Linked DNA regions of Canis lupus familiaris. The protein of the gene in region 1 purifies or fractionates together with the protein of each later gene. This does not show direct contact. Links are inferred from orthologs where the notes say so. Each region holds a gene or a part of one and is shown on either strand. Other genes may lie near its edges. The genes, in order: RB1, SP1, ARID4A, E2F4, KDM5B, KDM5A and NPM1.

The links.
Region 2: the proteins of RB1 (region 1) and SP1 purify together in Homo sapiens (affinity purification with western blotting; 3 studies listed by BioGRID). This does not show direct contact. The link is inferred for Canis lupus familiaris from reciprocal best matches to the Homo sapiens genes RB1 and SP1.
Region 3: the proteins of RB1 (region 1) and ARID4A purify together in Homo sapiens (affinity purification with western blotting; 3 studies listed by BioGRID). This does not show direct contact. The link is inferred for Canis lupus familiaris from reciprocal best matches to the Homo sapiens genes RB1 and ARID4A.
Region 4: the proteins of RB1 (region 1) and E2F4 purify together in Homo sapiens (affinity purification with western blotting; 10 studies listed by BioGRID and IntAct, with this or other methods). This does not show direct contact. The link is inferred for Canis lupus familiaris from reciprocal best matches to the Homo sapiens genes RB1 and E2F4.
Region 5: the proteins of RB1 (region 1) and KDM5B purify together in Homo sapiens (affinity purification with western blotting; 3 studies listed by BioGRID). This does not show direct contact. The link is inferred for Canis lupus familiaris from reciprocal best matches to the Homo sapiens genes RB1 and KDM5B.
Region 6: the proteins of RB1 (region 1) and KDM5A purify together in Homo sapiens (affinity purification with western blotting; 4 studies listed by BioGRID and IntAct, with this or other methods). This does not show direct contact. The link is inferred for Canis lupus familiaris from reciprocal best matches to the Homo sapiens genes RB1 and KDM5A.
Region 7: the proteins of RB1 (region 1) and NPM1 purify together in Homo sapiens (affinity purification with western blotting; 3 studies listed by BioGRID and IntAct, with this or other methods). This does not show direct contact. The link is inferred for Canis lupus familiaris from reciprocal best matches to the Homo sapiens genes RB1 and NPM1.

The regions. Positions count from the first base shown.
Region 1 is NC_049243.1:3,038,142-3,042,075, reverse strand, and holds part of RB1 (retinoblastoma-associated protein), read left to right. Parts: intron 1-368; coding exon 369-473; intron 474-1,167; coding exon 1,168-1,281; intron 1,282-1,380; coding exon 1,381-1,544; intron 1,545-3,934. UniProt on the Homo sapiens protein: Tumor suppressor that is a key regulator of the G1/S transition of the cell cycle. The hypophosphorylated form binds transcription regulators of the E2F family, preventing transcription of E2F-responsive genes.
Region 2 is NC_049248.1:44,804,221-44,808,582, reverse strand, and holds the start of SP1 (transcription factor Sp1), read right to left. Parts: upstream 2,921-4,362; 5' UTR 2,816-2,920; coding exon 2,809-2,815; intron 2,330-2,808; exon of another isoform or gene 1,922-2,329; intron 1,737-1,921; coding exon 1,582-1,736; intron 1,258-1,581; coding exon 1-1,257. UniProt on the Homo sapiens protein: Transcription factor that can activate or repress transcription in response to physiological and pathological stimuli.
Region 3 is NC_049229.1:34,024,043-34,027,066, reverse strand, and holds the end of ARID4A (AT-rich interactive domain-containing protein 4A), read right to left. Parts: intron 2,632-3,024; coding exon 2,528-2,631; 3' UTR 769-2,527; downstream 1-768.
Region 4 is NC_049226.1:82,760,483-82,764,856, forward strand, and holds the start of E2F4 (transcription factor E2F4), read right to left. Parts: upstream 3,137-4,374; 5' UTR 2,986-3,136; coding exon of another isoform or gene 2,892-2,985; intron 2,668-2,891; coding exon of another isoform or gene 2,521-2,667; exon of another isoform or gene 2,395-2,520; intron 1,724-2,394; 5' UTR 1,535-1,723; intron 1,426-1,534; exon of another isoform or gene 1,380-1,425; 5' UTR 1,110-1,379; coding exon 789-1,109; intron 364-788; coding exon 254-363; intron 113-253; coding exon 1-112. Other genes in the region: EXOC3L1 (exocyst complex component 3-like protein), read left to right, coding at 2,521-2,667, 2,892-2,985, 3,198-3,373, 3,454-3,673, 4,221-4,374. UniProt on the Homo sapiens protein: Transcription activator that binds DNA cooperatively with DP proteins through the E2 recognition site, 5'-TTTC[CG]CGC-3' found in the promoter region of a number of genes whose products are involved in cell cycle regulation or in DNA replication.
Region 5 is NC_049228.1:516,438-520,371, reverse strand, and holds part of KDM5B (lysine-specific demethylase 5B), read right to left. Parts: intron 3,598-3,934; coding exon 3,478-3,597; intron 2,465-3,477; coding exon 2,270-2,464; intron 1-2,269. UniProt on the Homo sapiens protein: Histone demethylase that demethylates 'Lys-4' of histone H3, thereby playing a central role in histone code. Does not demethylate histone H3 'Lys-9' or H3 'Lys-27'. Demethylates trimethylated, dimethylated and monomethylated H3 'Lys-4'.
Region 6 is NC_049248.1:3,660,049-3,663,982, forward strand, and holds part of KDM5A (lysine-specific demethylase 5A), read left to right. Parts: intron 1-874; coding exon 875-1,426; intron 1,427-1,772; coding exon 1,773-1,916; exon of another isoform or gene 1,917-1,983; intron 1,984-3,934. UniProt on the Homo sapiens protein: Histone demethylase that specifically demethylates 'Lys-4' of histone H3, thereby playing a central role in histone code. Does not demethylate histone H3 'Lys-9', H3 'Lys-27', H3 'Lys-36', H3 'Lys-79' or H4 'Lys-20'.
Region 7 is NC_049225.1:41,656,276-41,660,209, forward strand, and holds part of NPM1 (nucleophosmin), read right to left. Parts: intron 3,660-3,934; coding exon 3,566-3,659; intron 3,256-3,565; coding exon 3,149-3,255; intron 3,041-3,148; coding exon 2,973-3,040; intron 283-2,972; coding exon 225-282; intron 1-224. UniProt on the Homo sapiens protein: Involved in diverse cellular processes such as ribosome biogenesis, centrosome duplication, protein chaperoning, histone assembly, cell proliferation, and regulation of tumor suppressors p53/TP53 and ARF.

The DNA.
Region 1 (3,934 bases):
GAACCTTTGATAACAACTGTCTTTTCTTTTCTTTTTTTTTTTTTTTTAAGTGCTAGTTACATGGTTAACAGATTCCATTTTCAACTTTTCTGGGAAAAAAATCTAAAGAACAGGAGTCAAAATTAGGGTTATTTACAAACCCTGATCAGTTCTAATAATCAAGATTTGATTATTTGCATTTTGTTCTTTAAATATAATTTAGGCTAAACACTTCACATCAAGTTTCAGACTCAGCTCAGGATAGGAAAAGATAATCCTGTAGGAGCTTAAATGTCCATTTTTTGAAACTAAAAGAAAGAGAACAGTACTTTTTAGAGCACAACTAGGTAACAAAATTCTGATATTTTTGTATTGTATTGATTTACTAGATTATGATGTGTTCCATGTATGGCATATGCAAAGTGAAGAATATAGACCTTAAATTCAAAATCATTGTAACAGCATATAAGGATCTTCCTCATGCTGTTCAGGAGGTAGGTAACCTTTCATGGTAAGATTTTTTGGTTATATCCATATCTATAATATGGATAACATAAGTCATTAATTAGATCATACATTCTGACCTTGTTATATAAATTCACATATCAATTTTTTACCTTTATGTTACTGGTTAATTATTTGTAACTAAAATAGAATTGGAAAGTTAAGGCACTTTAGTATCCACATTCATATTACAAAGTTAATAAGGAATACTATATCCCTGCCACAGATAGGATATTTGTAATAAACTTTTACATGTAATAATATTACATTAAAAAAAATCTGTGACATTTCTCTTCTGGTAAAACAGCTGTATTCCAAACCTGAGAAGGCTTTTTCAGATTATTTTTTCCTATACAGTATGTGATTCCTACTGCTAAAAAATATTATGAATTATTAAAAAAGAAAATCTTTTTTTTTTTTTTTTTTTTTTTATTTTTTTTAATTTTTATTTATTTATGATAGGCACACAGTGAGAGAGAGAGAGGCAGAGACACAGGCAGAGGGAGAAGCAGGCTCCATGCACCGGAAGCCTGACGTGGGATTTGATCCTGGGTCTCCAGGATCGCGCCCTGGGCCAAAGGCAGGCGCTAAACCGCTGCGCCACCCAGGGATCCCTAAAAAAGAAAATCTAAAGAGATAAATTTCCCAATTCACTTAACAGGTATTTTTATTCTTCTTCCTCAGACATTCAAACGTGTTTTGATCAGAGAAGAGGAGTATGATTCCATTATAGTATTCTATAATTCGGTCTTCATGCAGAGACTGAAAACAAATATTTTACAGTATGCTTCTACCAGGGTACGTTGGAAGTATCCTTTGATTGGGAAAAATCTAATTATAAAGTAATGGATCTTACTAAAATATTTTTTTAAAATCTACTTTTTATTTTTGCCTCAGCCCCCTACCTTGTCACCAATACCTCACATTCCTCGAAGCCCTTACAAGTTTTCTAGTTCACCTTTGCGGATTCCTGGAGGGAACATCTACATATCACCCCTGAAGAATCCATATAAAATTTCAGAAGGTGTGCCAACGCCAACAAAAATGACTCCAAGATCAAGGTTTGTGTTTTCTCTTTAGGGAAGATCAAGGGGGGATTATTTTGATCCAAAAACAAAAATATAAAGCTTTCTTCACTTAAAATATTTGCTTATTTAACATTAAATGACATGAAAGGAATTTGGCAAGGAAAGAAAGACAATCTTTTTACTTAAATGGGCTTGCAAATTTAGTCCTCAACTTTCCTGGTTGCTTGGGTCTGTTGTTCTGTGAACAAAGAACAACTTTTGTAATAGTTGTAAAATCACTTTCATATTTTTCTAAGTAGCCAGTCTGCTAAGCAAAGTAGATTAGTTTTGGTTAAGAATTTTTATTCTGTAGTTTTACTGAATGTCCTGTAAACTCTCTGAACCTGTTCATCTTGCTTTGCTATAAAAATGTAGATGACTGATTAAATGTAGATGACTGTAAATTAAGTCTTTAAGAGTCCGTCCTTAATTTTGCCTGCTGCTTCCTTAGATTACCTGGGGCAGGTGTCCTGTCTACTTCGGAAGGGTGCTGTGGATTAGGGAGATGATGAGTATGAAGCTGTTTTAAATTCTTAGATGAAAGGTTTTGTGCAACTACAAATCATTATATTATCTTCCACATCCAACCACAAGCAATTTGTGGCTTTGAAGTGCTTCCATTGACTTATTATATGGTATCATACACTGTTTGAAACTGACTTTATTTGTACAGTGATAGGCAGATTAGCTAGCACAGTTAATGTAGTCTCATTTCCCCAAATTGTCAGCTCATAGAGTTGTACTTAATGGGCAAGAAAAACAAGGAGAAGGAGATATATTAGCCTTTTAGAAAACATTTGTGTGGCGTGTTTAATTATATAGGTAATGCACACTCATGATAAAAATTTGAAATCACAGGAAGAGACAAAGTAGAAAATAATTGGCAAGTGATATAAATCCTCTTGTGCATCCCCATTCCATCCTTTATTTGGTGTTCTTATAGTATCTGTGCATGGTATCTACAACTTACATTGTAAGTTGGTTAAGATGCTATACAATGCATATTTACACAGTCCGCATGAAAATGTGTACTTAGGTAATGATAATTGATCCATACTATGCTTATGATGATGGCTATTTGCTGAACTTAGTGAAATCACTTCTGGGTTGAGATTCTTTAGCGAAAAAGCCACATTCTCAAAATCTTGATAAATCATTGGTCAGGCATTAAGAGAGCATCTTAACACTCTATGTATCCAGCATATTTAGGTATTCTGCTTAATTAAATATGTATATAGAATGATGGCCACGTACCAAGGAATTGGAGTACAATAAAACATCTAGTTCCATGTGCATATGATCCTATCTTTGTTATGTCAGGCTACTGCTTTTTCAGCATTATTATTAAAAACAAATTATAAGGTTCACTCATGGCAACCACAAACTCAAAACTTATGATATATACACAAAAAATAAAGAGAAAGCCGAACATAGCTCTATAGAAACTCATCAATCACACACACAAAAAAAAGGCAAGAGAAAAGAGGAAAGGAACAGAGAAGAACTACAAAAACAACCTGAAAACAAGGAATAAATGGGATTAAGTACCTATCAATAATAATTTTAAATGTAAGTGGCCTAAATGCTCCAGTCAAAAGATAGAGGGTGGTGAAATGGATAAAAATACAAAACCTTTCTATATGCTGCCTACAGGAGACTCACCTTAGATGTAAAGACACAGACTGAAAGTAAAGGATGAAAAAACACCATGCAAGTGGAAGAAAAGAAAAAAAAAGCCGGGGTAGCAACACTTATATCAGACAAAATAGACTTGAAAGGACTGTAACTAGAGACAAAGAAGGGCATTACATAATGATAAAAGGCGCAATCCAACAAGAGGACTTAACACTTGTGAATATCTAGAGCACCTGAATACATAAGGCATATATTAATGGACATAAAGAGACTGGTAGTAATACAATAATAGTCAGGGACCCTAACACCCTACTTATATCAATGATAGATCATTCGGGCGGGAAATCAATAAGGAAACAGTGTCTTTGAATGACACTTTGGAACAGATGGACATAACAGATATATATATATATAGCACATTCAATCCAAAAACAGCAGTATACACATTATTCTCAAGTGCACATGGGACATCTCCAGAAAGGATCATGAGACCACAAAACAAGTTTCAGTAAATTTAAGATTGAAATCATACCATGCATTTTTTTTTTTTTATCACAGCAGTACGAAACTAGAAATAAATCACAAGAAAAAAACTGTAGAAAAGGGGCAGCCTGGGTGGCTCAGTGGTTTAGCACCACCTTCAGCCCTGGGCATGATCCTGGAGACCCGGGATTGAGTCCCAGGTCAGGCTTCCTGCACAGAGCCTGCTTCTCCCTCTGCCTTCTGTCTGTCTGTCTCTCATGAATAAA
Region 2 (4,362 bases), on another chromosome or scaffold:
GAGATTCTGCAGCTGAAGAGTCTGCCAACTGACCTGTCCATTGGGCCCCACTGTTGGTGTCCGGATGATGATGGGGCCGGAGTTTGGAACAGCCTGAAGCTGGAGATTCTGGAGGGTTTCCTGGGAGATAGCTTGGGTTGTAAAGGTCTGCCCTGACAATGGTGCTGCTTGGAGGGCCTGGAGAGCCTGTCCCCCTTGAACTAGCTGAGGCTGGATAAGAATTTGTTGCTGTTGCTGTGTCTGCTGGTTTTGCTCTCCCTCTTTTTGCTGACTTGCTTGCAGAGAGCCTCCAGATGTCTGGTTCTGCTGAATGTTTAGAGCATCAGACCCCTGTAGCCCACTGACCCTCTGGGGTGTCTGCCCTTGAGAGTTGGTCCCTGCTGATCCGCTGGTGGTGAAGTTCATAATTCCCATGTTGCTGGTGGTAGTAGTTGTTGAGTAGCTATTGGCATTGGTGAAAAAGGAGCTGGAACTGGCTTGTGATGATACCAAACTGGCAGAACTGATGGCAGTCCCTGAGGTGGAGGGCTGTGAGCCACTCTCCTGGGACCCAGAGCTGCTGATAGTGACTGCCTGAGAGCTAGGAGTCAAGGTAGCTGCAGAAACGCTGTTGACAGGTAGCAAGGTGATATTCCCGTTCAGGGCCACTGGTACATTGGTCACATACTGAGTCTGTCCTGAGAGTACGTTATTAGTCAGGCCTTGGAGGGGGACAGCCTGCTGGAGTAGGTTTGGCATAGCAGCAATGATGTTGCCTCCACTTCCTCGATTTGTGATGATCTGTTGGTTTGCACCTGGTATGATCTGTATTTGACCAGAACCATCCTGCTGCACTTGGGCCCCAGTGGCAGCGAACTGCAGCTGTTGCCCATCAACGGTCTGGAACTGTGGGATTACTTGATACTGAATATTAGGCATCACTCCAGGTAATCCTGTCAGGACTTGCTGGTTCTGTAAATTGGAGGTGGCGGCCACAACATACTGCCCACCAGAGACCGCACGATTCTTGGAAGACTCACTGCCATTGCTGCCATTGGTACTGCTGCCACTCTGTTCCTTTGAGGTAGGGGTAGCCCCAGAGGAGGAAGAGATGATCTGCCAGCCATTGGCACCCTGTGAGAGCTGTGTGGCTGTGAGGTCAAGCTCACCTGTACCCCCTGACTGGCTTGGGCCTTGGGAGTTGTTGCTGTTTTCATTGGGTGACTCAATTCTGCTGCAAGTTGCTGCCAGCAGAGCCAGAGGGGATGGCTGGGATTCCTGGCCGGAAAATAAGGGAGAGGATAGGAGTCAGAGACACCCAGCTGCCAGCCCTGGGGGCAGTTTTAAAACAAATAAACAGCAAAACTGCAGCCAAAGAGAGGGAAAAAAAAAAAAAAAAACCTGAAACAAAAAGCTGACCTATCCATACTGCTGAAATCCTCATCTCTGGAGATCTCCCAATCATTTGTCTCTCTGTGCTAACTTCCCTAGCTACAAAATGGTTTAGCGCTTTCCTAAAAACGTTTCTGTGAAAAGACAATAATCTAAGAATATTTACATTCTCTAGACATCTCCCCTACTCTGCCCTGGTTTATCACTTACCTGCCCTCCTCCTCCTCCACTGCTGCTACTGCCTGTGCTGCTGCTTCGAGCCTGAGAAAAGGCACCATCACCATTACCGTTGCCCCCATTATTGCCACCAACTCCTTTTTCAATCTTCACCACGGCTGTCATTTCATCCATGGAGTGATCTTGGTCTAAAAAGAATTAAAAGATAAACAACTTAGAGTTGGAGGAAGGAAAAGGGTAAGGTTAGGAGGGATAAAGGACGCTATGATGAAACAAATAATTAACAGTAAGGTGAAAGGCACCAGCGTTAAAAAAAAAAAAAAAAAAAAGTGGATTGAGGAAAGGGCAATTGTAGGACACATAGAACACAGACTTGGCTTAGCAGTGCTGAAACTGGGCCTCAATTCTTCCCTGGCACAAAATTACACCCAGGAAACATTAAAAATGTACTTTTCGTATAGGAAATGTGAGGGGCGATGGACATGTTCAAAGAGTTTCAAAATAAAAAAAAGTATCCTGGGGATAAAAAGGAGAGGGATAGGTAAGGCAAAGAACAACATGTGGGTGGATGGAAAGCTTGCTAAAATTAGGGTCAAAGAATATAGAGAAAGAGAAAAACTCAAGGGTAAAAAGCAGCACGAGGAGAAGAGGGGCAAAGGGGAAAGAAAAAACAAAAAAGTGTGAGTGGGGAAACATTTGTGGATACGGCTAAGGGGCTACGGGGTCCAGGGGTTACGAATCTGGAGGTTTCGGGGCGGACAGAGGGCGGGCCCTGGAAGGAAAGGGCGGTTTCGGGGTGAGGGGCGTGGAAAGGGCGGGACGGTGGGGGGGAGGGGAAACCTACGGGGGGAGGGGAGGGCCTTGGGGCAGGCGGCGACCAGAGGGCGGACCGGGGAGGCGGTTGGCCCGGGCGGGGCCTGCACTGCTCGGGCCGCCCCCGCGGCTCCAGCCCCCGGCGGGAGGAGCCTCAGGCGGGCGGCCGAATAGTGGGGGGTAAGGCCCGTCCCCCGTGGCCGGGGCGGGCAGGGGGCGGGCGAGGCCACGCTGCCCCCTCCCCCGGGGCGGGCGGCCCATCCCCCGCTTTCTCGCAGGCCCCGCCACTGCCCCTTCTCCCTCCCTTCCCTCCGCCCCGGGCGGGACCAAGGCCGCCGCCGCCGCCTCCCGCCCGCCCCCCCTCACGGCGGGGACCGCCCGGTCGGCCCTCGCGCGCGCCCCCTCATTCCCCTCCCACCCCTAAGCGTGGAGTGGACTCATCCTTACCGCTCATGGTGGCAGCTGAGGGACGAGCTCAAGGGGGTCCTGTCCGGGGGGGTTGGGGGGGGCCGGGAAAAACGCGGACGCTGACGAGGCAAGCGAACCCGGACCGGACAGGGAGGGGGGGGGTAAGGAGGAGGGAGCAGCGCGCCACAAGCCCGGCCTAGGCCCCGCCCCTTCGCTGCTGCCCCGCCCAATGAGGGAGGGAGAAAGGCGGGACTTGCGGAAGAAAGACGCGTGGGTCATCCAATGGCAAGGCTCACTGGCTCTCTAAGGCGTGTAGGACAAAGTTGCGAGCCTGGTGTCCGCCCAGGGAGGCCGCCCTCTCAGTTTTAAGGCCCAATGAAAGGCGCAGGAAGTGGGGGTGGGCGGGAGCTAGTGATGACAGGCTTGGGAGGGAGCCAGTCAACCGCCAGGCGGGCTCCCTGAACGGTGGGGATAGGGAGAGCTTAGGTTGGAATGACAGAACATCGGCCAACCAGAAGCCCGGACATGCCTGGGCAAAGTCCCCGGTGGGAGGGGGTAAGAAGCAGGCCGAAATGGGATAGGATGAAGCCGACCACAGCCAATCAGAAATCAGGCGGGCAGCCAGGAAAGTTAGGATTGGGCCAACGCTGAGACAAGACAAGCGGGGACGCAAATTGACGTGAACGAGAAGCCAATTGAACGCCGAATGCACTCCGGGGGCGGGACTTTGGGGTGGGCCGAGGAGAAGCGGCGTCTCCCTCAGTCGGTCCGCCCAATGAGGCGGCGAAGGGGGCCAGGCCCCGCCCCCAGGGGGGCCAATGGGCGCCGCCAGAGCCGCCCGTCGCGGGGGAGGGAGCAGGGCTGTGCCAAGAGGAGGCCGCCGCCATCTTGGCCCTCCTCAGGGGACGTCTTTGCAGTGGTTAGGTGGCGCGCTTCGGTGGGGCCGTGCTGCGCAACAAGTGTCAGGGTCGAGACGGGCGGAGCGCGGCTCTGCCTCCCGCCGGCCGCTCTCTCGGGGGCCCCCCCAGCGTCCCCCTCCCCGCGGTGGGCGGACGGGCGGGCGGGCGCCTCGGAGTGTGGGTGTCGGCCCTGTGGGTGCGCGCGCGCCCGGCCAACCCCGCGCCGACCGTCCGCAAGGGCTTTTGTGCGACTCCGGCGGACGCCATCTTCCCGACTTCTCCCGCAGACGGCGGCCGGCGGCTTCCTTCCGCGGCGCTGACTTTCTCGAGAGCTGGGCCTGGAGGACCTCCCAGAGTCCGCGTCCTGTCAGCCACTTCCTGCCTCTCCTTCCCCACACACCCCGTCCGACGGCAGGAGGAGAGCGCGGGCCTTTGTAACCAAAGTCACAGGACACTTTCCCCTCAGACACCTGCGTTTCTGGCACCTCCCGTTCTACCTCGCTTCCCCCCCCTCCCCTGGTGTTGGTGGAGGCGGCCTGGGTGAGTCGTCAATGACACGGAGGTCATTCCCTGCGGCCCCTCCTGGTATCTTCGTGTTGTCACTAAATTATTTTCAGTGCGGCACTTGGTGACCTGGGGTCACGCTTTAAAGTCCGGATCCCGGGGATCCCCGGGGGGCTCAGCGGTTTGGCGT
Region 3 (3,024 bases), on another chromosome or scaffold:
ATTACAGGGCTTATAAGAAAGGTATATTTTAAAACTTATAAGAAAGATATATAAGCAAATTAATAGTTTAACCTATATGGATTTCCATAATTTAAAGCAACTTCATAGAAGACATAATATGTAAATGCTAAGAACAAACATGTTTCTTAGTGAGGGACCGGAAAATTAGAAACACAACAAACAATAAAAGCACACAGTGGAACAGTGAAACAAATCTCCATAATCTTCAAAGAACCTGATTTTATGGATAGGACCTTCTACTTTAAATATTGAAGAGTGTCTTTATACTTTTACTTTTTTAGTCACATGTAAGTACTATCCAAAATTTTGCTAAATTCAAAATATGCCTAATATTTGAATAGTCAGTATTCACTTTTGTAATTCTGTCTCCAAAAATAAAAGGATTTTAAGTGTCCATATACCCATTGAGTATAATTTTGCCCTCTGTAGAAAGGTCCCAATACTTCACTACAAGATTTATATTGATTAGAAGGGATGGATTCAAGTTGATAATTAGTTACCATCTCATTTACTGAATTGCTAATGAAGCAAATCATTAAAATATCGATCATATGAATCTAAGGTTGCCTCCTAGTTCCAAATGGATTTGAATGACACGCTTTTTTCATTTTTATAATTAAGAACTAGAAATATTTTATTGTAAAGACTGATGAATATGCTTGTTTTGCAAAGTCTAATTTTCCAACTGTAAGTTACTGGCACTTGGGAAAAAAACAATCACTTAAATGAAAACTAAAAATATAAAGCCTATGTTTAAAACATGGCCTTTATTAATACTTAATACTGCCCACTGAGCTCCATTTTTATTTTACATTGAAATACTTCTGCTTTGCAAAGAAAAGACAGAAAAGTGCATTTTACAAGAGTACTTTTTTCTTTTTAATTCTCTGCGAAAATGGAAGGAATCTGAATCACAAGTTCACAATGTGGTAAAATGAAATTAAGAAACAATGATTTCAGTAATGCTATGCCATCACTAGTGTTTGGCTCTGACTTTGCTCTTGTAAATCAGATCCTGATATACAGTCTAGAGCATCTAGGTTATTACTCTACAGCATATTAAACACAGAAAAGGAGGTTTAAAAAAAACCCCTTTCAATGTACAAACATGAATTTAAAAACTGATTTTAAAAAATCACCTTTTTACATAATGTATATGGCAAAAATGCTTTAAATACATGATTTTGGACTTATTTACAAAACGTATCAGTCTGTGGAACAATTCACAGACACAGCATACATAGTTGCTTTACTTAGTTGTTGCATCTCAACTTTGGGAGATAGAAATTTATTCGGCAGTATAGCAAACAAAAAACTATGACAAAGTATCTTAAGGGCAACCAAAAATTTGATCCTCAAAACAGTTTAAATACTAGGACTGCCAAAGTTTCTAAACGAGGACATACTTTAATGATCCAGATGCCCATTTATAGTTCTATACTGTTTGAAGGACTGAGACAGACTCCCTTCAACACAGGCAAAGCTACTGGATGCAACCTCCTGTAAAAGGGACAGCTGAGAGCTATTGTCATCCAAAGAGTGAATTAACCTAGAATTTTCTTTTTTTCAATTTTATTAATATTTTAAAAAATACATAAAAATACAACATCCAATGTCTGAATAAATATATTTAACAAGTTGCAAGATAATACCTTATTTTACACAAAATTTTCAGCTTTAGAAATCTTGTTAAATAACTTCATTGTTGTTATATATTTCATTTTTGTCTTTTTGTAACAAAATAAAAACTCTGAAATTACATAGAAAAAAGACAAAATATTTTTGTCAAGGGATAAGATAGTCCACTGAAAACTTATTCACAATTCCACTGTAAACATTAATAAACATTAAAATATTTGCATAATTGTGTGCTCAAAAATCCTATAAAAAGTGGAAGACTTATTACAACTGTAGTTTTCAGTCAACTACACTTCCTTTCACAATTTATTTTGTCCCATTTACACCTTTAAGCCTGGGCACACTGCTGAACATATACTTTGGCAGTTCTAAATAGCAAGTGCTTCCACAAAAATAAAAAACAACAACAACAATAAAAAAAAAAACCCACAACATAAACCCCCTACTCACCAAGTGTTCAAATACATCTTAGTGAAAGTGCAGCAGTCACTATTCAGCTGGATAATATTTTGATGTTTTTCATGTGCACTTGCTTGTCTATGATTTCTATAACAGTTGAAAGCTTTATTATACAAATTCAGATTTGCTAAGTGCCCTTTTTCTATCTTCACAAAAAATGAAAACAAATTAAAGAGGAAAAATTATAGACAAATATGGCAGGCTGCCTAACCTTCAATTATTAATCAGCTTACTTTTTGCAACAGAAAAAAAGAAAAGAGGGGGGAATAGATACAGTCCAGCCTGGAAAGGTATACAGGATATACTTAGCAATGTCAAACCAGTTGAGTGCTTTCTGTGGTTGTATTTCAGGGTTTTAGGATTTATGTCCATGGCAGCAAACTGCTGGGAAGGCAGAGAAAAACGTTTATCACCTGCATTCTACAGCAAGTACATTTTGTGGGGGAGATGATGATGAGGGACTCATCCCAGTGTCTGACGAAGCAGATGACATGGAGGCTCCTGCATGAGACACTGTAGAATCAAAACAACTACATTAGACCCAAAAACTATCAAAGATACCTAGCCACTGGCAAATTAGAAATAAATTTCTTATTATTCATTTCAATTGCAATCCTCTTAAATGGTGCCTAAATTTAGGAATAACATTGTCAGCAAAAATTGTTTGGCTCAATTGACTGGAATCAGTCTCTCATCAGTTAAATAACTCAGTTCAAAAAAGGCATCTTAAAATGTAAAGATATAAAGAGATGATAAACTCTTAAACCCTAACTTGAACGATCCCTGGAAGGAACTCACCTTACCCCAAAACCAAAACAAGGTAAACCTGGCTTAAATTCTCACTATAGCAAATTCCATCCTTGTCTCTGGGTTCTAGGACTATAAGAGAATTCACTCATCCCAGAA
Region 4 (4,374 bases), on another chromosome or scaffold:
CACCTTGTGCTTGTCCAGTTCTTGCTCCCGCTGCTGCAGCTCCTCGATTTCAGCCTTGAGCTCAATCAGCTTGTCCGCAATCTCCCGGGTGTTGCAGCCAGGCCCCACACCCCTGAGCCCAGAGAGTGGGGCTGAGAGGAGCTGCCAGGAACTCTGGGTCCCGTGGCCCCTGCTCTCTCCTGTGTCCTCCTCCCCACACCCCTGCCACTTCTGGGTGGGAGACGCCATTGCTCTCCCGGGTGCCCCCACTCACTTCCACTGGATGCTATTCTTGGATTTTTTCTCGATCAGCCCGATACCTTCCAGGACGTTGGTAATGTCGTAAATCCGCCGCTTCTGGCGCACAGCAAGGGTGTCAGCTGCCTGGCAGACAGAACAGAGTGCAGGATACTCAGGCCCACTCTCAGGTGTTCCCCCAGCTACCTTGAGACCTAGTCTGGAAGGGTTCTGGAAAAGGGGTGGCCCGAGTCCCAATCCCCCTCCCAGGCACTGCAGCAGCTCGGGACCGCGGGGCAGAGGAGGCCCGGCACCGTCTGAACTGATGTCCCCACACCAGCCGAGGAGGGCCACGAGGACCACCGCCTGCAGCCCAGAGCCTGGCACAGAGCGGACGCCCAATGGCCCCGGCTGAATGAATGAAACCGCTCCTGGCCTCCCGCCTGTGAGAAAGCACACGGATGGCGCTTTGCCCTCCGAGGGCTCAGCGGGGCCGCCCCAGGGGTTCCCACTACCGGTCCGGGCCTGCCTGGTCCACCATCCTCCCGGGCGCCCCTTAGCCCAGGCCGCACCAGCTTGAGGTCAAGCACGCCGTCCTTGGCCTCCTGCAGAAGCGACACGAACTTGGTGGTGAGAAGTCCCAAGCTCTTCTCGTGCCGGCTTGGGGTGCCCGGGGGCGGCGGCGCCTGCGGCCCGGCCTCCGCCATCGCTCCCGCCCGCCGCCTCCCCTCAGCCAGGCCAGGCCAGGCCGGCGCCGCCGCCACTTCCGCTTCCGTTCCTGGCCACCCGGCCGCCGGCGCCAGCGCCGCTGTTTCCGCTTCCGCTCCGCGCCCTCCCAGGGAACCCGGCGCAATTCCTCTCTGCGGACACGGCAGCAAAACTTCGGGGACCATCAGCAAATGTCCAACCGCCGAAGAGGACGAAGACAATCCGGGGATCCCGGGAGAGGGGACAGGGTCCAGGGGCAGGTGGAGGAAGTCAGGGGGGCAGCCCCGGCAGTAGAGAAGGGAAAGCCGCTAGAACCTTCCAGGCATACCCAGCCTGTCCCCTTTGCGGAAGAGGAGACCACGCTGCTTGATGACCGCAATGTGTTTCCCCCAACCTGCTCCTGGAAGCTGTCCCAGTGTCTTGGTTTAACTGACCCCATTGCTGTCCTTCAGTTCCTGCCAAACAGCCAGCATTGGGTACAGCGGGCCCACTTGTGTCCACTCCCATTCCCCTTCCCTGATCCCAGCCTCATCTTTCTCTCGTCCCCACCCTGCAGTACCCAGAGACCATGGAATTGTAACCATCTTCCCACCAATGCAAACATGCTTACCTATGCGCACATGTCAGTAAAGCACTTAGAGCAGTTCCTGGCAGGTAGAAAGGGTTAGGTGTGGCTAGTACCGTTTTGTTATGTTTGATACCATCAATATTTATTATCATTTACTTTAGGTCAGGATCTCTGGGAAGCCGACTTTGAGACAGGAATCTGTCTGCAGGGAAGTTTATTGAGGATCCACATCTGTAAGGGAGTAAGACACGCAAAATTGAGGAGAAAGGTGAATTAAACTGTGATGCAGTTACAATAGAGGTCTCAGGCCATCCTGTTAGGAGCCCTGAAACCGAGGTGGGGCCCTTCCAAGGTGGTCCATGTCCAGACAAGGTTATCAGGCCTTTGTGCCCTGACTTTGAGTGAGAGACTCAGCTGTGACATCTTAGCAACCTACGTTCCGGACAGCTAGGGGAAGAAGTGGCGTGGTCCCGCAGGGTGGATTTGGGTGGTAACCAGCATCCACTATATTATTACTACCTGGTGGTCCTCTCCATGGCCCCCTGTAACTCTCAAGACAAACACAGCTTTCAGAGCCCTCCTACCCCTCTCTTACCATCACCCACCACACACCTTCCTCACAACAGCCTCTCAGTTCTCTGCAGGGGTGCCTACCCTCCCTCTGAGGAGCCATCAACACAGTTTTCCTACTGCGATGTTGTCTGCACCCATATTTGCACACACTGCTCTCTACCCCAAATTAGGGCCTTCTAGTTCACATGAGTCTGTGTCCTGAGCACAGGACGTAAGAGGTCCTGGATGGGTTGGGCAGGACTCCTACACCCCCTCCCCCCAAGGAAGTGGCGCCCAGCCCTCCCCACCCCATCCCACAATGCAGATGCACTTTCCTGTTGGGAATAAAGGGCCAGAGACTCAGCTTCCTTCCTTTCTGGGCATTTGGCCTTGGGGAAGGAGGGGCCTTCGAAGGAGGAGGGTGCTCCTGGGCAGGGGAGGTGGTACAGAGGCTTCCTTGGGGAGGATTCTGCTGCATGCTGGGGTGTAGGCTGGAGCCACCCAGGCCTCGTGAGCCAGTGAAGAGAATACCCTGCTTTGCCCTGAGGACTGGGGGAGAGGGCCATCCTCAAGGCCAAAGAGTGTTTTCAAAGGAGAAGGAACTGGATGCCTGGTCAAGCCTGGTGAGTTCCATACTAAACCATCCTCTGCAGTTCAGAGCTGGAGCTGGGGCCAGCAGGGGCTTGAGTCTGCTCTGCCTCACTTGGCATCTGCAGGGGCAAAACTGAGAAACCCAGTCCTCCCGTTTCCTGAGGGGGCTGGGCAAGAAACCCCCTCCTCCTTCTCAGAGGGGCCTAGACCGAGGCTGCAGCTCACAGGAGCACCCATTCTGCCCACTCTAACCCAGGCTCTTGCCCCGACTCCTACCTCATCTCCAGCTCCTCCAAGGACTGCCATGGACTCAGCAACCAAGGATGAAATGCAGCCCTCAATTCCTCCCGGTAGGAGCCCTTCCGGGTGGACTAGGGGAGGGATGGTGGCCAAAAAGATGGCATTGGTGGGGTTGGGTCCTCCTTGCCAGGTCTGGCCGGTGCTCTATAGGGCAGCAAGAGGAATGGGTCAGACTGCCCTAGGGGGACAGGCTAGGAAGTAGGAAGGGGAACAGGTTTGGGCCACTTCCCATCGGCCTTGCCCAACTGACGAGGCTGCCCAGGCTCTTCCTGCCCAGGGCCTGAGTGGCCAGAGCAGGAGAGGGCGGAGCAGCTGGCCCGAGGAGCAGCACTCAAATGGGCCTCGGGCATCTTCTACCGGCCGGAACAGCTGGCTAGACTGAGCCAGTACCGCAGCCGTGAGGTTCAGCGTACCTGCTCCTTGGAAGCGCGCATCAAGGTGGGCATTGGTCAAGGGAAAGGAGAGCTGGGGGTGGGCTGCCGGCCTGGCCAGGCCTCACAGGCTGCCTCCCTCCTTAGTCGGTGGTGCAGTCCTACCTGGAGGGCGTGAAGATTGGTGTGTGGCAGCTGGCCCAGGCTTCTGAGGCCTTGCAGGCAGCCCGTGAGGCCCTTGGCCAGGCCCATGGGTTGCTTCAGGATCTGGCAGAGACCACACAGACCCTAAAACCGCTGCGGGAACAGGTTGCACAGCACAAGCAACTGCAGGTCCTGTCTCAGCTGCTGCCCCGGCTGTGGGCAGGTGAGTGTGCAGGGGCCCTGGGCCTCAGCCCCTCAACAGTCAGTCAGTACATGCCCATTACTGACCAAAGGGCGTCACCCTTAGATGGGAGGGACACCCCAGGGACCTCCCAGAGAGTGACTCAGGTTTCTGATGGCAGAGGAATCTGGATACAAATCAGCTCATGCTGGGATTGTCAAGCATGCGTTGTAGGACTCAGGGCTGAGACCCAGTCAAGTGGCTCTGACCGCCCTGGTTGCAAAGTTATTGAAATGATTCCTTAATAGGATGGGTAAATAGCCACTAGCAAGGGTCCACGAGTTCTTCCCTGCCTTGCCTCCAGGATCCCTGACTTCCTCTTGCTCCATCAACTCAAGAATTTATATCTGGCCCAGTAGGCCTCTGGGCCCTTCTCTGGGTCCTTTCAGATTGGTCAGTGCTCTGCTGTCCTGGTTATTATGCATTTTACACATCACTCCAGCCCTAGGGGCCTCAGTATCCATGGCTGTGCCCATTGCACAGGTGGGAAGTTTGAAACTTAGGGCTGTTTCATCTTCTCCCTTCCTAGTGCCAGCAGCAGTGGCCCACACACGGACCCTGATTGATGCCCAGCAGCTCTTGGAGGCATATGCGTGCCTTCGGGAGCTGGAGCAGCTACAAGAGGAGACGTGGGCACCTCTGGGGGGCCTGGAGCTGCCAGTCTTTGAGGCGCTGGGCCCTCT
Region 5 (3,934 bases), on another chromosome or scaffold:
TTTGGAAAAAAATTTACTCAAAGTTCCACAAATGAGTTACCATTATTGATATAAGGCCATGTTAAGACACCTAAACCGTACCCTCTGGGCATTGTTTTCCCTAACTATAAAATATAAGGAGAAAGTGAATAAGCTTGCTGTTGGTCCATAAAAGGCTTCAGAGAGCCAACATTCAAGAGTTATATCTAAAAAAGTCACACTAAAAAAAAAAAAAAGAAAAAAATCCAATGTGACTCTTTTTGCAGATACCACTGTCCCAAAACAGCACAAAAAAAGCTAACAGAACTACTGAGTTTAGCAAGGTTGCAGGACATAAAAAGTCAATATACAGAAGTCAATTATATTTATAAATACTAGCAATAACCATTTGAAATAAAAAATTTTAAGGTATCATTTATAATAGTACCAAAAAACAAAATATTTAACTATAAACCCAAGAAAATATGTGTTAAGATCCATATGCTGCAATCCACAAAAAAATGAAAGAACTCAAGAAGACTTAAATAAATGGTAGATATATGATGTCCATGAATTGGAAGAGTCAACATTGTTAAGATACCAATTCTCCCAATTATATTCATGGATTTAATGGAGTCCCTGTGAAATCCTAACAGGGCTTTTGGTAGAAATCAGTAAGCCAATTCTCAAATTTATATGGAAAGCAAAGGAACTAAAATAGCCAAACCAATTTTTAAAGTAAATGAATTGGAGAACACACACTATCTCATTTCAAGCCTTATTACAAAGGTATAGTAATCAAGATCATATAGCAACAGCAAGAGAATAAATGCATAAGTTAAGAGAATAAAACAGAGTTTAGCAATAGACCCATTTATATGCGGTGAATTGATTTTCAACACCAAAGTGCCAAGGCATTTTAAAGGAAAAAGAATGGTCTTCTCAAGAAATGGTGCTAAAACAATGAGACATCTTTTTTTTTTTTTAATATTTTATTTATTTTTTCAGAGACATAGGCAGGGGGAGAAGCAAGTTCCATGCAAGGAGTCTGATGCGGGACTCGATCCCAGGACCCCGGGGTCACGCCCTGAGATGAAGGCAGATGCTCAGCCACTGAGCCACCCAGGGGTCCGTCCCACAATGAGACATCCTTATGCAAAAAAAGAATAATCTCAACCCACACATTGCACCATAAATAAAAATTACTTGAGATGGATTAAAGATTTACATGTAAAACCTAAAACTAAAAAATTCTAGATGAATAAACAAAAGGTCTTTGTGACTTTGGGTTAGGTAAGATTTCTTAGGTACATAAAAAAGATGCAGGGGCACCTGGGTGGCTTAACAGCATCCAACTCTTGGTTTTGGCTCAGGTTGGCTCCTGTCATGATCCTAGGATCAGAAGATTGAGCCACACCTCAGCAGAGAGTCTGCCTGAGATCCTCTCCCTCTCTCTGTCCCTCCCCCAATCTCTTTCCTCTCTAAAATAAAAAAATCTCTAAAAAGATGCATAAAAGATGGGACGCCTGGGGGGCTCAGTGATTGAGCCTGCCTTCAGCCCAGGGCGTGATCCTGGAGTCCCAGGATCCAGTCCCACATAGGGCTCCTTGCATGGAGCCTGCTTCTCCTCCCTCTGCCTGTCTCTGCCTCTCTCTCTCTCATGAATAAAATCTTAAAAAAAAAAAATGCATAAAAGAAACAACTGCTTAATTGAACTATCAATTAGAAAGACACTGCTCTGAGAAAAAAAAAGATAAGCAACTGACTGAAAGAAAATACTTGCAGAACACTCATTTGATAAAGGACTGGCATAGAGAATGAATGGAAATCTCACAACAATCCAATAAAAAAAGGAGGTGGGCAACAAAATATATGAACAGACGCTTCACTGAAGAGATACATACACAAGTAGTAAATAAGTACATACATGATAGGATGTTCAGTAAATCAGTGGCCATTAGAGAAAATGAAAACCAAAATGAGATATTAATACACATCTATCAGAATGGGTCTTTTTCTTTTTCAAATATATTATATATTTATTCAAGAGAGACACAAAGAGAGGCAGAGACACAGGCAGAGGGAGAAGCAGCAGGCTCCTCGCAAGGAGCCCGATGTGGGACTCCATCCCCAGACCCCGGGGTCACGCCTTGAGCCGAAGGCAGACGCTCAACCACTGAGCCACTAGGCATCTCCAAAATGGGTCTTAAAGGAAATTAGCCTAAGAAAAGACTTCTTAAAATGAGATTAATTTAAGAATTTTACTAAGTAATATCCAGAGACACACCAATTGGGATTCCAGAAATCTTACCAATTTACGAACAGTTTCTCTTAAAGCTTTCTCATCCTCAATCATAATGGCCATATCTTTCTGAACAGTTGAAGCCACTACGACATCTAGTACATCAGCCTTGGAAGCCATCTTGCAAATCATCTCATCGTGGGAAAATACACAATAGCGATGAAGCAAGCGATAATGCTCCACACACTGTCGGCCTAATGGCAGCTGTTTCAAAAGACAGAGGATAATACATGACATTTATCTTTCTTTCTCCTTTTTATTTCCAAAGACTTCTGATCATTATCACATTACCAAAGAGCATATTCTGGGTCATAATACATTTATCAACCCTATAGCCAGACTCTAAGAGGCCTTGGCCCTTTTCTAGCCTTTGCATCTCAAAGCTCTGGCATGTCAGGTATCTAATTAAAAAGTAGTTTAAAAAACCCAATGTATGATGGTGCCTGGCTGGCTCAGTCAAAAGAGCATGCAACTCAATCTCAGGGTCATGAGTTCCAGCCCCACTTTGGGTATAGAGATTAATAAAGACATTTTTAAAAAACCCAATGTATTAACAACGTGTCAATGTTCAGTGTACAATCTAACTGGACATGAGAATTTACACATTTCCTGAAATAACAATGCTGACTTAAACCTGCTTCAGGGAATTAACGATGCTCTAAACTATTTAATGGAAAATAATTTCAGGTACAGGTAGTACTATTACTCAGTAAAGCACTGAAACAAGGTTATAATTCATTAAATTTAACATCACACACTTGAACTAGATCTTTTTATGTAAAAGAAAAGTATTAATACCAATATAAAAATTCCACCTTACAACTAAAACCAAATGCATCATTAAAAATTGCTGTATTATACATTAAATTTAAACTAGTGTTACATAGGCTTAAGACTGAATGAACTTTTTGTTACAAGTTTGCAATGAGATACTGAATTTTCCCAAAATGTAAATCAACAGACTCATTTATTCATCAAGTCTCACTTTTACAAAAGAAAAACTTATCAGCTAAACTGAGCAGTGTGCTTAGTCAGTACAGGCTTGATATGTGGTGCCAAGTGCTTTACCCCACTGTGGATGGTAATCAATTTGTAGACCAGCCATTTGAGGAGCAACAGGTTTAAGCAACCACACACATGAAAGCTTCTCAAGTATCATATACTACACTTCAGTAGGAAAACAATATATTCAAAAAGGCTAAGTCATAATTACATACCCAATCGACAGTGCAGAAGTTAACAGCCTCAGCAAAATTAAAACCTTGATTAAAACCACTGTGGTAGGCTCTTGGAAATGTAATCACAAACTCCCCAGCACACTGATTAGTTCTGTAAACCTAGAGAGACAAAAATTGGGGATTTTTAGTGACATTCGTGAAAGACAATCTGGACACAGACTATCAGATGATATTCCAGAAAGAGAAGCTTTCTTCTAATTACAAGTGAGCCAACAAAAAGAATTATGGTAGAATGATCATAGAGATACTCTATTCGGCCACAAGATGGAGTAGTATTCCAAACTATGAGGGTTGATTAGGCTCTAAATAGAAAACATGGATTTTACTATAAAAATTGGCTACATCCAGGATTAGGACACATCTAAATATAACTACAATTACGAGTATTCTAATATTATTATACCAAAATAGCATTCTTTTACCACCAATTAATGAA
Region 6 (3,934 bases), on another chromosome or scaffold:
GATTTTATTTATTTATTCATGAGAGACACAGAAAGAGAGTCAGAGACATAGGCAGAGGGAGAAGCAGACTCCATGCAGGGAGCCTGATGTGGGACTTGATCCCGGGACTTTAGGATCACGCCCTGAGCCTAAGGCAGATGCTTAACTGCTGATCCACCCAGGCGTCCCACTACCACAGTTTAAAAAAGAAAATGGCACGGACAGTGTTCATGTTCATGATAATGAAATTTTGTTTACTTTTATTTCTTTTTTTGAAATGAGTAACCTAAACCTTGTTATAACTGATCATCAGACTTCATCATTCTACTTATACATGAGTTGGAGAGGCCATTTAGAAAGAAATAAAAATTGATTTGTATAGAAGTCACCCTCAGGGAAGGAATTACAAGGGGAGAGGGAAGTAATATATAGTGGATATTTACTTTGCACGTGGCACCAAGTTAGACATTTACATGTATTATCTTAATTCTCAAAACAACAAAATGAGGTTGGTTAGTATACTGTTTTTCAGAAAACTGATATTCAGAAAACTTGTGCCCCAGATCAGCTGTCTATAAGTACAAAAGCCAGGCTTCATACTCAGGTTGCTTGACTCCCAAGGCATATTATCTTTCTGTTCAATCTACAGAAGAGTTCCAACATACTCTACTGATCTACATTGTCAAACATGGTAGCACTTTGCCCATTTCACAGATGAGGAATGTTTGCTCCCAAATTATAGGAAATTATTGACAAATGTTGGGTGGTTGCCTTTTTTTTTAGGATAATACTTTGTCACAATGAGGGCACAATGGGGAGATGATCCCTCAGGTCTGAGGATTTGACATTTTGAAATATTTTGCAGTGACTCCTTTTAATCATTTGTTTTACACAGGTGGCGGTTTTCAAAGAACGGGAACAAAAAGAGATTGAAGCCATGCATTCCCTGAGAGCAGCCAACCTAGCCAAGATGACAATGGTGGACCGCATAGAAGAAGTAAAATTTTGCATTTGCCGCAAGACAGCCAGTGGGTTTATGCTACAGTGTGAGCTCTGCAAAGACTGGTTCCATAACAGCTGTGTTCCCCTTCCTAAATCAGGTTCCCAAAAAAAAGGGTCTAGCTGGCAGGCTAAAGAAGTGAAATTCCTTTGCCCTCTGTGTATGCGGTCTCGAAGGCCAAGGTTAGAGACTATTCTGTCGCTCTTGGTATCCCTTCAGAAGTTGCCAGTACGTTTGCCTGAAGGAGAGGCCCTACAGTGTTTGACAGAACGTGCTATGAGTTGGCAGGATAGAGCACGGCAGGCCCTAGCCACAGATGAACTGTCCTCTGCCTTAGCCAAACTATCTGTATTGAGCCAGCGTATGGTGGAGCAGGCAGCTCGAGAGAAAACTGAAAAGATAATCAGTGCAGAACTCCAGAAAGCAGCTGCTAATCCTGACTTACAGGTAAGTTTAGGGTTTCTTTCTTTTTTTATTTCATGGGATTATGTGTATAAATAGTAAATTAAATATATCTTAACAGCTGATGAGGAAAACAGCAGTAAGTTGCTAGCAGCTATGTTATCCATAACATCTTTTTATATACACCTGTAGGATTTCCTTCAGGTATATACCTACATCATTTTAGTGAACTATTAACTGGAAATATTATTGAGGGAGGGACCTTGGCATTAAAACCACAAATTTGATTTGTGTTAACCATGGAATTCTGTTGGCCACTTTGAAAGTTCATTACATTTTGGTGGTCTTAAATGCATATTAATTACCCATGTTGGAATTGTTTGTTATTTAGGGACACTTACCTAGTTTCCAGCAGTCTGCTTTTAACCGGGTGGTGAGCAGTGTATCTTCTTCTCCTCGACAAACAATGGACTATGATGATGAAGAAACAGATTCTGATGAAGATATCCGGGAGACATATGGCTATGACATGAAGGTAATTAATGGACAGGCATACCTGATCACTGGGCTTGTTAAAAATAGTGAACACTGGTATTGGAAGCCTGAAAGTAGAAGAGAATACTAGTCCGTTTATCTTGGGTTTATCGTAATAGCATTTTTCCAAAGCCCCCCAAAATATAGATGAAACTTTTTTTTAAAGGATGGAATTTTTTTAAAAATCCATATTTTCTTCACCTTGTAACTCCTTATGTCCTAGAGGGCCTAAAAAAATTATGCGTTTAGATTATTGAAAGCTTTCATGGCTTATTTCAGTATTTTGTTTCCTTTGGGCTCTTCAGGTCTGTATAGTTGTATTTTAAGAATCCCATTCTAGCTGTGCTTTGAGTCTTTTGCTCTGATCTCTCTGGATGATGTTGGATATAATGTCCTATTTAGAGATGAGTTATATTTGGGCCCATGGTTCAAATTTGCAGTTACATTTGCAGCTAGAAAAAATTATTTGTCCTCAATGTGATTCCTTTGATAATAACAGTACCCTGGTTTTGGCAAGTTTGTTTTGTATTGGATCCTATTCGCCTTTTATTATTTTGTGTCAGGCCCAAGCCCTTTGTCTTTTTAGCTAGTATAACATCACGATCTAGGCAGGAACTCTGCCAGGTTACAGTTAATCCATTCATCTGTTTTATATTAGTCTTTGAACTGTTTAGAATTTGTGTCTGTAACCAGGGAGTTCATACTCTGATGTGTGGAAAAACGAGAGTGCATTTCTTTCTCCTACTGGTGGTTAACTATCCTTTCTTTGTCGTTTTAGTGTGCAAATCAGATAGGTAAGCTCATTCTTAGAGCATGAACGACATCAGCATTAAAACTTGCAGGATAGTTTAAACCATCTATCATAGATGCTTATAAATTATCTACTGGAAAATATTTTTTCTCAAGATAAAAATGGATCTTGGGAAAGTTTTAATGAGGGAATTTTTAGTTTTATGAATTAAAGACTTGAGCAAAGTTGAAACTTGAATTAGCCAGTTAAGGTAAAGTTCTAAAGGAGCAGCTGAATGGGAATGCAGCCCATGCTACATATAAGTTAACTAATACTAGAATTACTGGTTTACTATAGCTTAGAGATCTTTGATAACTGGGTTCTCTTTCTAGCATACTAATTATCAACCAGTACCCTAGAATTGTTAAACGGGATGGACTTGGTTTGGGAGTGTTTTGGAAACCAATGAAAACAAAACATCACAAGTATTATGGGACTTCAGGGCTAGGGATCAAAACTGTGGTTTGATGTGGTTGTAGAGAGTAGTATTTTTTTAATAAAATTTATATAACAGTATTAGCTAATAATGGGCTTTCCTTTGGTAGGGGGGCACTTTATAGTATGAATTAGGAATTCATACTTTTAGCAATGTATTTGACAGCTTGGAAGAGTGGTAGGTGGCAAGACTTAGAGTGATTCAAGGTCACATTCACCTTGATTGTAGGTTAAAAAAAATTAAATTCCTGCATATTTTTCCATAGAGCAATCACTTACTCCATAATTAAAATTTTTGCTAGTTTAGTTACAATTTGGCGATTTTTTCCTTTGTATAATGTCCCCTGATTGTGACCATGAATTCATCTTTAAAATTCATCTTTGAGGGCAGCCCCGGTGGCATAGCGGTTTAGTGCTGCCTGCAGCCCAGGGCATGATCCTGGAGACCTGGGATCAAGTCCCGCGTCGGGCTCCCTGCATGGAGCCTGCTTCTCTCTCTGCCTGTCTGCCTCTCTCTCTCTGTGTCTCTCATGAATAAATAAATAAAATCTTAAAAAAAAAAAAATTTAAAAAATTAAATTCATCTTTGAATTTAGTATCTTGGCCTGAGGGAAAGACCCCTTACTGGCTTAGGGAGAAGAGTAGGTAATTACATAGAAAAATAAAATCAGTCATTTGATCTTAATTATCATAGCATTTAATTTGTGCTCTGCATTGTTGGATTACTTCATTTGCATGTAATATCTTATAATCACCGCTGAATCACTGAGCAGCAATTCAGGAAAATCATTACT
Region 7 (3,934 bases), on another chromosome or scaffold:
AGGTATTAAGGGCTATGAAAGTGGGAGAAGACCACAAGGATAAAGAAAATAGATCACTATTAGGAAAATTTTTAAGATGAAAATCCTATTCAGGACTAATTTAAGTACAAGATCAACAACTCCTCCCAAACCAGCTTTTGTTAACTACAAAACAAAGCAGTAAAAAATTTCCATTTCTGTTACTAGCTATTTCTGTCAGCCTTGTACCACTGTGTTGTACTTACTTTCTTTACTGGAGCCTTTTCTTCAGCTTCCTCATCATCAAAATCATCATCATCATCACTACAAATGAAATGAGTCCTTATTATTTTTAAAAAATTTTTAATTTAAATTCGATTTGCCAACATAGAACACTCAGGGCTCATCCCATCAAGTGCCCATCACCTATCCCCCCACCCATCTTCTCTTCTACAACCCTGTTTCCCAGAGTTAGAAATCTCATGATTTGTGTCCCTAATTTTTCCTCACAAGGAGTCACTATTACTGATCCAATGCACTCATAAGCCTGTGTAAAAATTGGATGAAACTCCAAGTTTAGTCAATCAAGATGTTAAGAATTTCAAACTTTTGAGGATTGACAAAAAGAATTGGAAGCAAGGGTCTCAAAGAGCTATTTGCATGTTCATCTTCACAAGTGGAAGCAACCTAAATATCTACTAACAAATGCTAAGAAAATTATCATTTATATATTTAAGGAAATATTCAGGATTTTTGGATAGTTATTAGAATATTGCAATTTTTAAAAAAGATTTTAGAATGAGAGACTTCCAAGGAGATTTCCTCCGCTGAGCAAGGTGCCTGATACAGGGCTCTATCTCAGGACTCTGAGGATCATAACCTAAGGTGAAATCAAGAGTCAGACACAATAGACTGAGTCACTTGGGTATCCCTAGAATATTCAGTTTTAAAGGAAATCCTGTCACATGGATGAACCTTGAGAACATACTAACAAACATGATAGTCATGGAAAAGACAGACATAGTGTATGATCCCACTTAACGAGGCATCAAAAGTAATCTTTTCCTCTATAGAACCCAAAAGGAGATTGGTGGTAGCCAAGGGTTGGAGAATGGTGGAAAGGAGTTTTCATTCAGTAAGTAAATTTTCAGTATTAATAGATGAAAAGACTTTAGGATCTATTAAACAACAATATAATTAACACTCAACTGTACACTTCAAAAATGGTTAAGATAATATTGTATTTTTCTTACAACTAAAGTGGATAAAAAACTTAAAAATGGAAGTTGTAGTTTAAAGAAACTAAATAGAAACACATGTTCACAGATCAGGAGAAATATTCTAAGGTGGCAACTCTCCAAATTAATCTACGATTCATCACAACCCCTAACAGTCCTAGGTTCTCTGTAGACATCGATCCTACAATTTGTATTAAAATTCAAAGAACCCAAAAGCAGCCAAAAACAATCTCGAAAAAGTAACATAATTGGAGGATGCACTTAGTGTTTTAAAAAAAAAAAACCCACAAAAATGACAAAGCAACAGAAATCAAGACTGTTTTACCAGCATCTAAGGATACTTAATAAAACCAAAGAGTCCAGAAACAAACCCATAATTCATCGTAATTATTCTCAACGACACAGTACTGTCATCCAATGGCGAAAGACATCTAATAAACGGTGCTGGGACAACTAGAAATCCACACACAGAATTTAGGTTTGTCCCCAACTTCATACCATATACAAAAATGGATTCAAGATGGATCAAAGATTTAAATATAAGACATATAATAAAGGTTTCAGAAGATTTGGCAATGGCTTATTTTAACACCAAAAGCACACAAGCATCAAAATAAACTGGACTCCATAAATCATTAAAAACATAAAAAATTAAGCTAATAGGACACTGGATGATTAAAAACTTTTGTGCAAAGGATTACACACTCACGCGAAAACACAGCCCACAGAACGGGAGAAAGTACTTGTGAATTCTTTCTGAAAAGGAACTTGTAAGAGCTTTTTTGTTTTCCGACAACTCAGTATATCAAGACAAGTAAAGGGGTAGTTGGGTGCCTCAGTAAGTTAAGCATCTGCTTTCTGCTCAGGTCAAGATCCCAGGACACTGGGATGGAGCCTCCAGTCAGGTTTTCTACTCAGCGGGGAGCCTGCTTCTCCCCCCTCTGCCTCTCTCTCTCTCATGAATAAATAAATAGCACTTTATTGTGTAGTATGCATTTAATTTTACCTTAGCCTGATCAAGTTTAATAAACCTATCACCAAATAGTTTCCAAAAAAAATCTCAAATCCTTCATGAAAATCTTCTTTCAGAATCTCATTTTATCAGTAAGGACCAAAGAACTATTAGCCAAAATCCTTTGTGGGATAAAAAAAATCATTAAGTGACAACTTACAAAATGAAATGTCGCTGGAGCCATCCGGATTCTTTCTACCCAGATCACTTATATACTGTTTAGTAAAAAATCTTACCAGCAGACTTGTCATCACGTGTTTATTAAATCTTCCTCAGGAAAAAAACTCATCTAGTCAAATACATTTGGGAAACACCGCATATTCTTTTTTTTTTTTTTTTTTTTTATGATAGGCACACAGTGAGAGAGAGAGAGGCAGAGACACAGGCAGAAGGAGAAGCAGGCTCCATGCACCGGGAGCCCGATGTGGGATTCGATCCCGGGTCTCCAGGATCGCGCCCTGGGCCAAAGGCAGGCGCTAAACTGCTGCACCACCCAGGGATCCCGACACCACATATTCTTTTGAAAATTTGCAACACACTGCATTTTAAAAATTTTTTAAAAGATTTTATGAGCTACGCAGCTGTCCCACACTGCAGCATTTTAAAGGCTCTTAAATGCCAGCATTTTTAAATTCAGCTAATTTAATTCAAAGTAACAGCCAATGACCATTTACCCTTTTTAAGTATTGCTTAATTTCAAAGATGATTATAATTTTCATAAACTACTCTCCATACAACTGTCAAGCTTCTAAGATCACACTTACTCTTCATCATCGTCGTCGTCATCGTCGTCGTCGTCATCATCTTCATCAGCAGCAAGTTTTACTTTTTTCTTAAAAAAAAAAAAAAAGTTCATATAAAAATACGTACATATATGTACCCATGAACAAGTGCTGATCTTAATCACCAAAACTAAAGGCCAGGATAAGATAACCTATACCTGTGGAACCTTGCTACCACTTCCAGGGGCAGAACGCTTTCCAGATATACTAAGAAGTTTCACATCCTCCTCTTCTTCATCTTCTGACTCTGCATCTTCCTCTACAGCTAGAACAAGTTTATTTATTAGCCACTACTAGAATTCAACCAAGAAGCAAGAACTCAGGAAAAAAAGGGCATAGCATACAGTAATGAGCATTTAAAAATGAAGATTCTACTAGAAAAATAGCAATTAGGGAACAGAAATTTTTTAAAAACGAATTTTCGGGACTCCTTGGTTTTCAAAAAAACAAAACAAAACCTTTTCTAGTGATAATCTCCATTTAAACAATTATAAAGACAATAGGTCTAGCACACATTACAAAATTCAAATTGGGAACAAAGAAGAGAATAAATAGCATAATACCTAATAACATACCTACTAAGTGCTGTCCACTAATATGCACAGGACCGGAACCACACTTCAACCGTAAGACCACAGGTGGTGTTATTTCAAAGCCCCCAAGGGACACCTAAAAATGATAAACTTTTAAGGTTAAATGTTTGGTATAAAAACCTGTTTGTAAGAGACCTAGAAAAATGTTTGTGTTAGACAGGCATTACAGGCAAATGCATAAACCAAATGAACCAACCAGCAAACCTGTTTTATCACCTCTGACAAATAGCGAACCAATATGTTCAAGAGTTATCATTCAACCCCACAGTGATGCAGCTGCTACTAAAAAAACACAAAGGAAATTCCCCCCTTTTAAGTCCTTGGTGTAACCTAAACAACACCTACCTTAAT